Linked DNA regions of Mus musculus: all the other regions are reported to be linked to region 2. The links are microRNA targets in miRTarBase. Many come from high-throughput screens and were not tested one by one. Region 2 holds a microRNA gene; each other region holds the end of a gene's coding sequence.

Region 1 (3,000 bases), not on the chromosome of region 2:
AGTCAGTGCTCTTAACTGCTGAGCCATCTCTCTAGCTGCCCCCCAACCTCTTTTACAGTAAGCAAAGTGACACAGTCTTGCCATAGAGCCTCTAGGTGGCTGGACCAAGACTGATATCCCCAGCTTTTGTCCTTGGCCCTCCCTGGGAGAAGCCAGACCAGTGGCCTGGGCTCTGAGCTGCTTCTGTTCCTCATGGATGGGACAATATTCTGAACTTTGGATGCCAAGTCCGGATTCTTCAAGGGGACTTGAGAGCCTGCCCATCCATGTTTGTCATGGACTAGCCAGAAGCTATTTTCTGACACCAGTTGTAAGGGGAAAAAATAGGGTTGTTTTGTTGTTGTTGAGAGAAAAGGATTATTGGAAGAAGACTCCAGACTTCTCCAAACGTCTATATTTAGATGGCATTGCTCCCTGAGGACTGACTGAGACTTTAAATTTTTCTCTTAGTCCAATTCAGTACTTGGGCTGTGAGCAGTAGAATCCTCCATTTTGACATTTGTTCTTTCTGGTTACTTTAGGATCAGTCCCCGACTAATAAAACAAGATGGTAGATGCCCTCTTCCCTGGACCACACCTCATCTGGATCCCTCAATGCTCTGCATCCATCTGAGCAGGGCCAGCAGCTTTCCCACCTGTCCTTGGAACTGGGAGGGACCAGAGGCCACCAATTTGAAACAGTGGACTGAGTCGGGACCTTGGGATAGGCCTGAAATATGTGACTGGTGCTCATAGGGCCACCTGTCCCTTGCCCATCCCAACCTCCTGGTATCCAAGAAACTGCAGCTACAGGGAGTGAACTGTTGACTCCCATCTCCTGCCTTAACACATCCCTCAGGTCACAGTGTCTGTGTTCCCATGTGGTTCTCCAGGTTGCTGTCTCGCTGTGAATGTCCAGTGTGTGACGGACCTTCTTGGCCATGTTGGTGTCCCGTCAGCATGTCTCACAATGGACATCAGGTGAATCTTTGTGAGTCTTTGGAGACAAGCCACACAACAGAAGTTGTCCCTTACCCTACTTAGGGCCTGCTGCACCTTCTAGGAGGTCACTGGCTAGTTTGGGCAGGCTGTTTCTCATGACCTGAGGGTCTCAGGTCCCAGCACCTTTGAATCTGGATGGAGTCTACTATACCTTCAGTGGGTCGTGTCCCCTCACCAGGGCAGGACCAGTCGGCCTGTTCTGTCCTCCCCACTGCCCATCACCATTGAAGATGGCAGTTACACTGGTCCCATCTGAGGAAGCTCTTCTTGTCCAGCCCTGCCACACAGAGAACCCACATCAGAGTTGAAGAGCCCGTGGGCCACAGTGGTGCTAGGGTTTTGCACCGTTTGTATCTCAGTTAATCCCCTGTTTGAATCTCCCCCAGTCTCCTTTTGCCTTCTGTGCTAGCTTCCTGGGGTAGCTCCTGGGACAGGTGCAGATGTGGATATTGCTGAATTACCTGGATCTCACAGGTTCTGGAAGCACCTGCTTGGGCTACCAGGACATACGTGGGGTCTGGGAGTTCCCTTAGGACATGTGGGTGGAATTCAGGGCTGCATTCTCAGGGTGAGTTGAACCTTTCCTGTGTCCGACTGGTGGGATGTGCGGTCCAGGACTGTAGATCGCTTATGGAAAGACGTCTTAAGTTTCTACCTCAGTTTGGGCAGCAGCCGTCCTTGGGACACATGGACATGATCTGCTGCTTTCAACATTAGAGGAGAGTCCTTGGCCTTAGGACATGCACCGGAGGCACCCGATGGCCACCCAGGTCAGAGAGGGCCATTTTCAGGCCTGCAAGCTGCTGACACCAGTGGCTGAGATGGTGTCATGGTACCAGACCCTGGACTCGAGATCTCCAGAACATCATTCTTTGTTCTACTTTTGGGTACCAGACAGAGCCTCTTCTATACCCTTTCCCCCAAGTGTGCTAACTTGGCCCTCAGCCCAGTCCTGCTTAGTGCCAAGGTAGAGGTAAAGATGAGTGGATTCCCAGGATAGCCAGGCACTCCATGCCTAGTTCTCATGCCATCCCCAGCAACCTGTGCCTTTTATCATTGGATGAAAGGTTCCCACAGAGTAGGACCATACCTCCAAATGATACTCCTCTTGCCCTCTGCTGACTGAGGATGCTTGGTCCTTCCACAAGGGAACCGGTCTCCATGCACCTCACACTGTTCTTGATCTAGAGCCCCAAGATCTGCCGCAGTAAGCGAGGGACTAGTTTGCTGTCTTAAATGAGTCCTTTAGGATGCAGAAAGCCCCACATCCCTAGGTGTGTAGCCTGTGGTGGGTGTGGCTGTGTTTATAGCCCAAGGCCTGCCTGCACCTGAAGCTGAGGAGTGATTGGAGGCTCCTGGAGGATGTAGGCTATTTGGGAGTGTCATGGTTACCCTTCATGGCAACCCTGCGACTTTTAGTTCCAGTTCCAGTGGAGAAGTACATTTTTCACTTGGGAGGCAGAAGCAGGCAGATTTCTGAGTTCGAGGCCAGCCTGGTCTACAAAGTGATTTCCATGACAGCCAGGGCTATACAGAGAAACCCTGTCTCAAAAAAACAAAACAAACAACAACAAAAAAAAGTACTTTTTTTTTTTTTTTTTTTTTAGGAGGGTTGGGGGCCTCCAAATGAACAGCTCTGTATCATACACAAGCCTTGAGTGGGAGACATCAAGTAGGTCCAGGCTTGATCCAAGCTCATCATTTGCAGGCCACTATCCCTTAATAAATGTCACACGGACCCTATTAAATCCTATAGTGGATGTAAAGGGAGGCTCAACCTTGTAACTGCTCAGAATTAAACGACTGCCCTTTCTTTGTGAGGGGTTACTGCCTCTGTTCCTGTGTGTTTCTAAGTGATTGTGGAATGTCAGTGTCAGCTGCCTTGCCTGCCTCTCTCTCCCCATTCCCCCATCTCAGCTACAGTAGCTGTTGGATTACAACTAACTAACTTCTCTCCGGTTAGAGACTTTAAAGGAGAAAACCAGGCCGCTGAAAGATATTTGAATTCTCAGCTGGATA
Region 2 (3,884 bases):
GCCCCATTTCTATGAACCCCCCTCCCCTGAAGCCAACTGGGAGTGGAGATCTCTGACTAAGGAGAGATTCTGAGGTTGCATTCACCCTTAAGAGCTTGTTACATGATCACATCCTTGTCTTTAGCACTTAGTAAGCACAAGCATTTATGTGTGCTGGATGGTGTGTGTGTGTGTGTGTGTGTGTGTGTGTGTGTGTGTGTGCATATTGCAGAGTGGAACTGTGTACAGCCTCTGTGATTTTGACCTGACATGGAAGGTATATATCCCCAGATGCCACCCCTCCATCCCTAGGTAGGGCAACCTTCAGATCTGCTCTTCCAGGTCTCAGGTTGAGGGCCTGGCCTAGCCCTTCTCCTGCTTACTAAGGCATGGGAGCTGTGCTTCATCCCAGAACCCTGGGGACTTTTGGCCTCACAGGCTGAGTCCCACCTGGTTTCAGGGTCCCCAAAGGTCCACAGAGCAGGGCAGTGGCTGACAGCTGGTAGAAGAACAGAAGGAATTGTATTCTGATTCAAGGGTGCTTGGGGGAGTCAAGAGAAAAGGGAGTCAGAGATGGGAGGTGCACACGGAATGCCCCTCCCACCACTCCCCTACCTGGTACCCTCTGCTCCTACCACACTGCTTCCTCCTGCCCAGGGCACCTGCCTTTCACAGGGACTGCAGGTCCTGGGAAGCAACATGTTATTAAGCACCCAACCTCAAGAAAGGGCTGGGTTGGTGCCCAGACAGCTGGGAGCTGCAAGCCTAGGTCCTGCCACTTGATCTGCATCCATTGATTGATTCCCTTCCTTCTAGAGTAGGGAGGGCTAAGCAGAGATTATCCACCCGCAAGCAGGCTACAGGCACAACAAGGTACAGGGCCCAGCAGGGCCTTCTATTTGCTCTGCTCCGGGCCATGGTCTGCTGGGCTGAGGTGATATGCCACATCTCTCTCTTTGAGTGGTGGGGTTTAAGGGTTTTTCTGTTAGAGGAGGAATCATGGGGGGCACTGTAGAGGATGACCCATCTCTGACTTCAGCAGTGAGTGGGGAAACAGCTATGGGGATGGAGGCTGCAGGTATCAGGATGGGGCCATCCTGGGCTCAGCTGGGACAGAGGCACTCTGTGTGTGTAGGCCAAAGGTTTTAGGTGGAAATATTGAGGACCAGGCTGCACAACAGAGCACTGGCAAGAGAGAGGTGGGCACAGCCTTACTGGCCCCTCCCATGGTTTCTGCTCCTCTGACATCCTTCTCCATCTTAGTGGTCCCAATTGCCACCCCTCACCACATAGACAGAAGAACGAAGCTGAAACAGGAAGAAGTTAATTAAGGACACACACTCAGAAACAGAAACTCGCCCCACTCCACGGCAGGTTCTGGATAAATGGGACCCATGAGACTTTTGGCCAGCTACTATGAGCATACCCCATCCAATGGCCTCCCCTGCAGCCCCCTGGCTCTGCCTGGCCACCTCACCCAGCCAGCCCGGTGACCTGCGCTGTTCCAGTTGCCCCAGCACCGCCCCCGTCCCTCCCTCCCTCCTCGGACAAACACGGGAGTGAAGACACGGAGCCAGAGCCTGGGCACTGGCCTGAGGGCCCCGGGCAGGCTGGGTCAGGCTGCCCAGAAGCCCATGCATTGGCAGACCTGCTTGCTGAGGGTCAAAGATAGAGGAGCTGAGACCCAGCCCAACTGGAACCATAGGTGCTCAACATCAGAACAGCTAAGGCAGGCTCTGCAAAGCTCTCTACACTTCCAGGAAAGCACTGGAGTACATACCCATCGTAGGAACGTCTCTCCGTTCTACCCTACCAGCAGCTTCCTCCTTGCCAGCCCTGAAGGTGGGTGGGAGTGGAGCGGCAGTATTGTTCCCCACTGACCCCGCCCATCTCTCTCAGAGTTGGTTTCATTTTTCCAGATCTTTCCCTCCTGGGTTTTTGGGGGGCACTACCCTCCCCTGGCACTCACAGGTTTTATTTGGGGAAGGGGGTTGTTTGTTAATGGCAGGTTTTCCCCACTTTAGTCCCTTTTCTAAGCCTTGTCCCCAACCCCAAAGCCTCTCAAATTCCAAGACCCCTGCTTCTTGTGACACTTAGCATGGCACCCCATTGCAGCAAACCCATGGGCAGCAACTGCTCATTTACCTCCTCCCAAATCTGGCTGCTTGCACCCCACCCCCGGCCCCCCACTATTCTCCAGAGCAGACAGCAGCTTGTGGCTTCCTACCTTTCAGGGTCACACCCTCCTGCCACCTGCTGACAGCTCCAGCTCCTGCTCCTCCCTCACAGAGGCAGCATCCCTCTTGGTCATCATCCACAGTCACCCCAGGACTTTAGCAGAGTCCAGCATCCTGATGCTACCCACAGACATCTCTGACCTGACCTCCCCTGACACTTCAGGGACCCAATGCCTTGAAACCCTCCACCTTCTGAAGATAATGCAGAGTCATGCTACCCCGCCTCTGGTCCATTCTTCTAGAAGCTTCCTGTGCTCACGGGGGAGATGCAGAGTGGAAAGCCCACTTCCCTCACGGCCCCTAAAACACTCCAGCTGGCACGGCTTGGGGGAGTGTAGGGGCATTCGGAGTATAATCTCTCAGCACCGCAGATAAGGGAGAGGCACAGGCTACACTCCCCTCCCCAGCTGCTGGCTCCTAGAGCAGGCCTTTCTGTTGACTGGTAGGTTAGAAGTAAACCAGCCCTCTGTGCTCCTGGGTTTTCCAGCCCCAGAGGCTGAGAGTCTCCAGGACGTGACAGCCTGGAGCAAATGGCCCAGCTTTCTGGGGGACTACTCACTGCCCAGGCTCCAGGGGCATTTTCCCATTGCTTGCTCCTGTTCCCCAACAAACCTGTCTAGTCCCCGGGGGTCACACCCGAAGGAAGACATTTCAACTCCATCTCTGAAATTGGAAAAGCATCAAGCACAATCCCCTCCCCGCCCCCACCTCACTCCCAATACTTTTCCACCCTCCTGGATGCCTTCATGATTCCCGAGCCCCTGCCTCCGGTTCACCCAAATGGCAACATCACCAAGAAGAACCTCCATCACGAACAGGGACCCCCTAACTGGGGGGCATCGGCTGCTGGCACTTCTATGGACTCGATGGGAGGGGTCATCTCCGGGCAGGCAAGGGCTCCTGCCAGCTGCCTCTCCAGCATCAGGCCAGGCCCTGGGCGAACAAAGCCTGGGCGACACCTGCAGCTCCGACCGACCGCTGCCTCCTCTGCAACGGGGATGGTTCTGTACAGCTGGAGCCGGTAAGATAAGCCGGAGCTGCAGATGCAGGCGCCTGCTCTGGCGCCGCAGTGAGGAGGGGGCGCTGGTGCAGTGGGCGCGGCTGGTGCGGAGAGCTGAGTGCTGCGGCAGGCAGAGGGGGGCATTTGGAGGGGGGCTGCGGAAAGCGGGAGATGGAGGGAGAGGAGAGAGGGCGATGTGATTGGCGGGGAAGGGGCTTGCCGCAGTGGGCGCGGCGGCAGAAAAAGGAGGGAGAAAAGCGAGCGCCATGGCTGTGGCGGCGGGGGCGGGGTGAAAGGGGGGATGGGTTCAGTAGAGGAAGGGGGACTTACTGCGGAAAGGGGGCTGCGGCAGCCTGAGGGGTGCAGGGGGAGGGATGGGGTAGAGAGGAATATCTAGGATGGTGCAGCACAACTTTAGGGAGATGGGGATGGGATGGAGGTGGGAGCTGAGAGACATGAGTGGACATCAGGGCTGATGACCAAGCTCTTGATGGGAAGGGGATGAGACAGAGATAGGCTGTAGTGGGGGTACAGCTGCGAGAGAATGGAACTGAAGATGAGAGGTGAATGCATGGAGGAGGGGGGATGCAGACAGGAATGGTGATAGAGATGGTGCCTAGCAGACGTAGCCTGGTAGCTTAGCGGACACCCTCCTGGCCTTAGAACCC
Region 3 (3,000 bases), not on the chromosome of region 2:
AGTGACTTGCTGGACGAGAAGGAGATAGCTAAAAATTTGATACAGCCCATAAATCATACCACATTGCAGTGTCTTGCTGCTCGTGTCATCGTGAATCATAGAATCTATTACAAAGGGAACATCCCAGAAAAGCTAGAGACCTTTGTTTCACTTCATAGATGATAATTTGATTGTGCTTCAGCACCGTTAAAGCACGGAGTGGGAACAGTTGTAATGAGCACTGTTGTGATAACACCAGCATCCATTAGCTTGATATCATTGCTCCCATTGGCTAAAGCATTGTAAGCATCAAATGTGCAGGGTTGGTTTCCCAGTGTTTAATATAAATATACCGTATAATATATTGTTGTGAATTATTGAGAAATGTCATGTCATATTCAAATTTCTAAAATTGTCTGCCAAAGGCCATTCTGATTTTGTTTGCTGTTGGGTGTTTGGGACAGAGTTAACTGTTTTTCAGTGATGTCTATATTTTACTAGTATGTGAATTTTATACAATTGGAAGTCATCCTCCCCTGGCTCCCACTTCTGTCTTCAAGTTTTGCCTGTTTCCACTTTTTCTCCCAAACCATTTCTGCTACAGTGTTCCCTGAACCGTTGGGTCCATGCTAAGTCATAAACCTTATGGACTTGTTTACCATTTGCAGTTACCATAAGTGCTTTATCTTCTCTATGCACCGGCTTAAACTGGGACTGTTGTGTGTTGGCATATTCTCTATGCAGCAGTTGGTCAACTTCAACTCAAAACACTGTTTCCTTACGTTCCGTTCCGGAGTCCATTTCACAAACGTACTCTCAGAGCATGTCGCTTTCTAGAGTTGCCGGTAAGCTGTTCGAGCTCAAGCTTTTTAAAATTTTATGTTTTGGTTTTGCTTTATTTTTTCACATCTGAGGTTTCTTTCTTCAGTCCACAGAAAATTTTGTATGCTAAATTTGGGAAACAAATCTATTACAAGTCATTAACCCAGTTGAAATTTAGGTCTGTCATCTTAGGCTAGCGTGCAGTAAAGGAAGACCTTTGTAGAGTGAACTGCCTTTCATACCGCTCCAGCGTCGTCTCCGGCGTCGTCCTGCTTGTGCTGATGGTGTGACTAGGTGTATCGAATCTGCTTCCGTTTAACCTCAGACGTTATCACACAGCCTAACGACTCACATTGAGCTCTCAGTCATGAACTGCAGACCACTTTTAGTTACAAAGAGGCTAGAGCATGTCAGTGGCATGATGCTTGCCAAGCCAGCCCTAGGCATCTAAGATAATTACGGTATTTTAGTATGCGGTGTACTGCCATAGGACCAGAGGTCAGTAACAGTGTTCTTTCTTTCTTGCTTCAGGTTTATGTATATCTGTTAAAGATAACGTGCATGAATTACTTTATCTCAATTATTTGTCACCCTATTAAACACAAGAGATTGCACAGTGATTTCTGTCCCCTTAATGAAAGCGCCTCCTTCTGTTCTCCTCTTCCCCTCCCTTCCACCTCCCTCCTCCCAGGTCCCCCCCCCCCCCCCCGTTTTTTTTCCTGTTGTAGATTTGTTAATGCTGCAGAAAGGGCTCCTTTGACTTAAGAGAAGATAAGTGGAAATGAAAAAGATTCAGGTAATCACTCAGCACTTTACCGTAATTCAGTAGAATCTACAATGACTGCTACATTGCCCTACATATGTCATAAAGAATTTGTTCTGAATGAAAAGCTTCTTGATTCTAGCAGAGAGTCAATTCGCCTGTGAACTTCACGATCTGGGCCACTTGGATTTAGGGATGACATTTTATTCTGAGGGTTGATGAACTGCCACTTAAAGAATTACATATAATGAAATTCGTCTTTATTCAGTAAACATTTGTAATGGGTAGTAAATAAAGAACATTAGACTTTTCATCAAACAATTGAGGTTTAATTCTTTAAAATGTATCCTTACTCATTTTACTACATTTTAAATTACATTTTACCTTTGGAAAATGGATTAGTTATCAATGGGCTCTTAAAATCGTTGATAAAAAAGGTTTTACTGTGTTTTTTTTACCATGGACAAGTCTGATAAAATATTTGAGCTGCTATATATAAGAATAATATGTCATTGAGACATATCCTAACAATATTTTGAAATTATCTCTCTCTAATGGGTGTCGTGAGAGTTATCTATGAGTGAGCCACTATTTTTATTTTTATATTTAAAAAGAAAATAAAACTTGTCCATTTTCATGAATCATCATTGGTTGATTTCACTTTTTGGGTAAAAGATGATAATTTGATTTTAGGGTTTAATGTCTTTCTCCCCTCTTTGCCCAGAAGAGTCTGGCTTACCCGCTCATAGAGCAGGGCACATCTTCACACTGTTTTACACATGCACTGGAATTTTCGTAGCCCTGTATGAATAAGGATATCTTTGCTAGTGGCTTCCTTCACTACGAATAGATAACAGAACTGGTTCTTACTTAGTCTTGAAAACTGCAGCATTGTATTGCAGTCAGGATGCAGCTCTCCCTCTTCTGTTTGCCTTCTCCAGAAATGTCCCTTGGAGCTCTTGAAAAAGCTGTTTAGTAGCTCAAATTAGCATTGAATTTATTTTAGAGTGAATTGGTTCAGGAGTGCAACCTCAGATAACTGTTAGGGCCTTCATCAGACATGTGTGAGACCGATTAAAATAAAATTCTGAAGTTTGTGTTTTGTTTTGTTTTTTTTGTCCATGGTGAGGAAATGATCTAATTGTACTCACTTGAATCAAACAATATACATGGTAGTATTGGCTGGAATTAATGTGCAGGTCTCAACATTGTTTCTCCAGAAATACTTCTGAATTTCAGACGTTCTACAATTTTGATCATTTCTGTAAAAGAAATGGTTATTTTATTCAGATACCAGTCTCCTTTCCAAATGCAAATGAATTATAGGTTTTAAAATGTAATTTTTTTGTCCTTACGTCTGACAAGCATAGGCCGAGAAGTGCAAGATAACTTTTACCCTTAATGATTTTGAAGTTAAGTGATTGCTCATTTGCAAA

Evidence for each region. The annotated mature microRNA mmu-miR-149-5p reads UCUGGCUCCGUGUCUUCACUCCC and lies in region 2 at 1,535-1,557, opposite strand. An mRNA with a match to its seed (bases 2 to 7 or 8) in the 3' UTR can be bound and repressed. Matches are read on the target gene's strand: a 7mer-m8 pairs with bases 2 to 8, a 7mer-A1 pairs with bases 2 to 7 and ends in A, and an 8mer does both.
Region 1: miRTarBase lists Gprc5c as a target of mmu-miR-149-5p. The part of its 3' UTR that is shown has no 7-base or 8-base seed match.
Region 3: the mRNA of Fem1c is a reported target of mmu-miR-149-5p. The part of its 3' UTR that is shown has no 7-base or 8-base seed match.

Annotation. Positions count from the first base shown.
Region 1 is chr11:114,869,800-114,872,799 of GRCm38, forward strand. It overlaps Gprc5c (G protein-coupled receptor, family C, group 5, member C), which reads left to right. Exons shown (of 5, transcript NM_001110337.1): 5 at 522-2,818. The coding sequence ends at 554. Among named protein-coding and RNA genes, the nearest start is that of Cd300a, 19 kb to the right of the region's middle.
Region 2 is chr1:92,848,054-92,851,937 of GRCm38, reverse strand. Mir149 (microRNA 149) reads right to left here and starts at 1,560; the gene lies at 1,495-1,560. All of the region lies in intron 1 of Gpc1 (glypican 1), which reads right to left. Gm29480 (predicted gene 29480) reads left to right here and starts at 3,141. Exons shown (of 4, transcript NR_166170.1): 1 at 3,141-3,237.
Region 3 is chr18:46,502,242-46,505,241 of GRCm38, reverse strand. Fem1c (fem 1 homolog c) reads left to right here. Exons shown (of 3, transcript NM_173423.4): 3 at 1-636. The coding sequence ends at 162. Among named protein-coding and RNA genes, the nearest start is that of Fem1c, 22 kb to the left of the region's middle.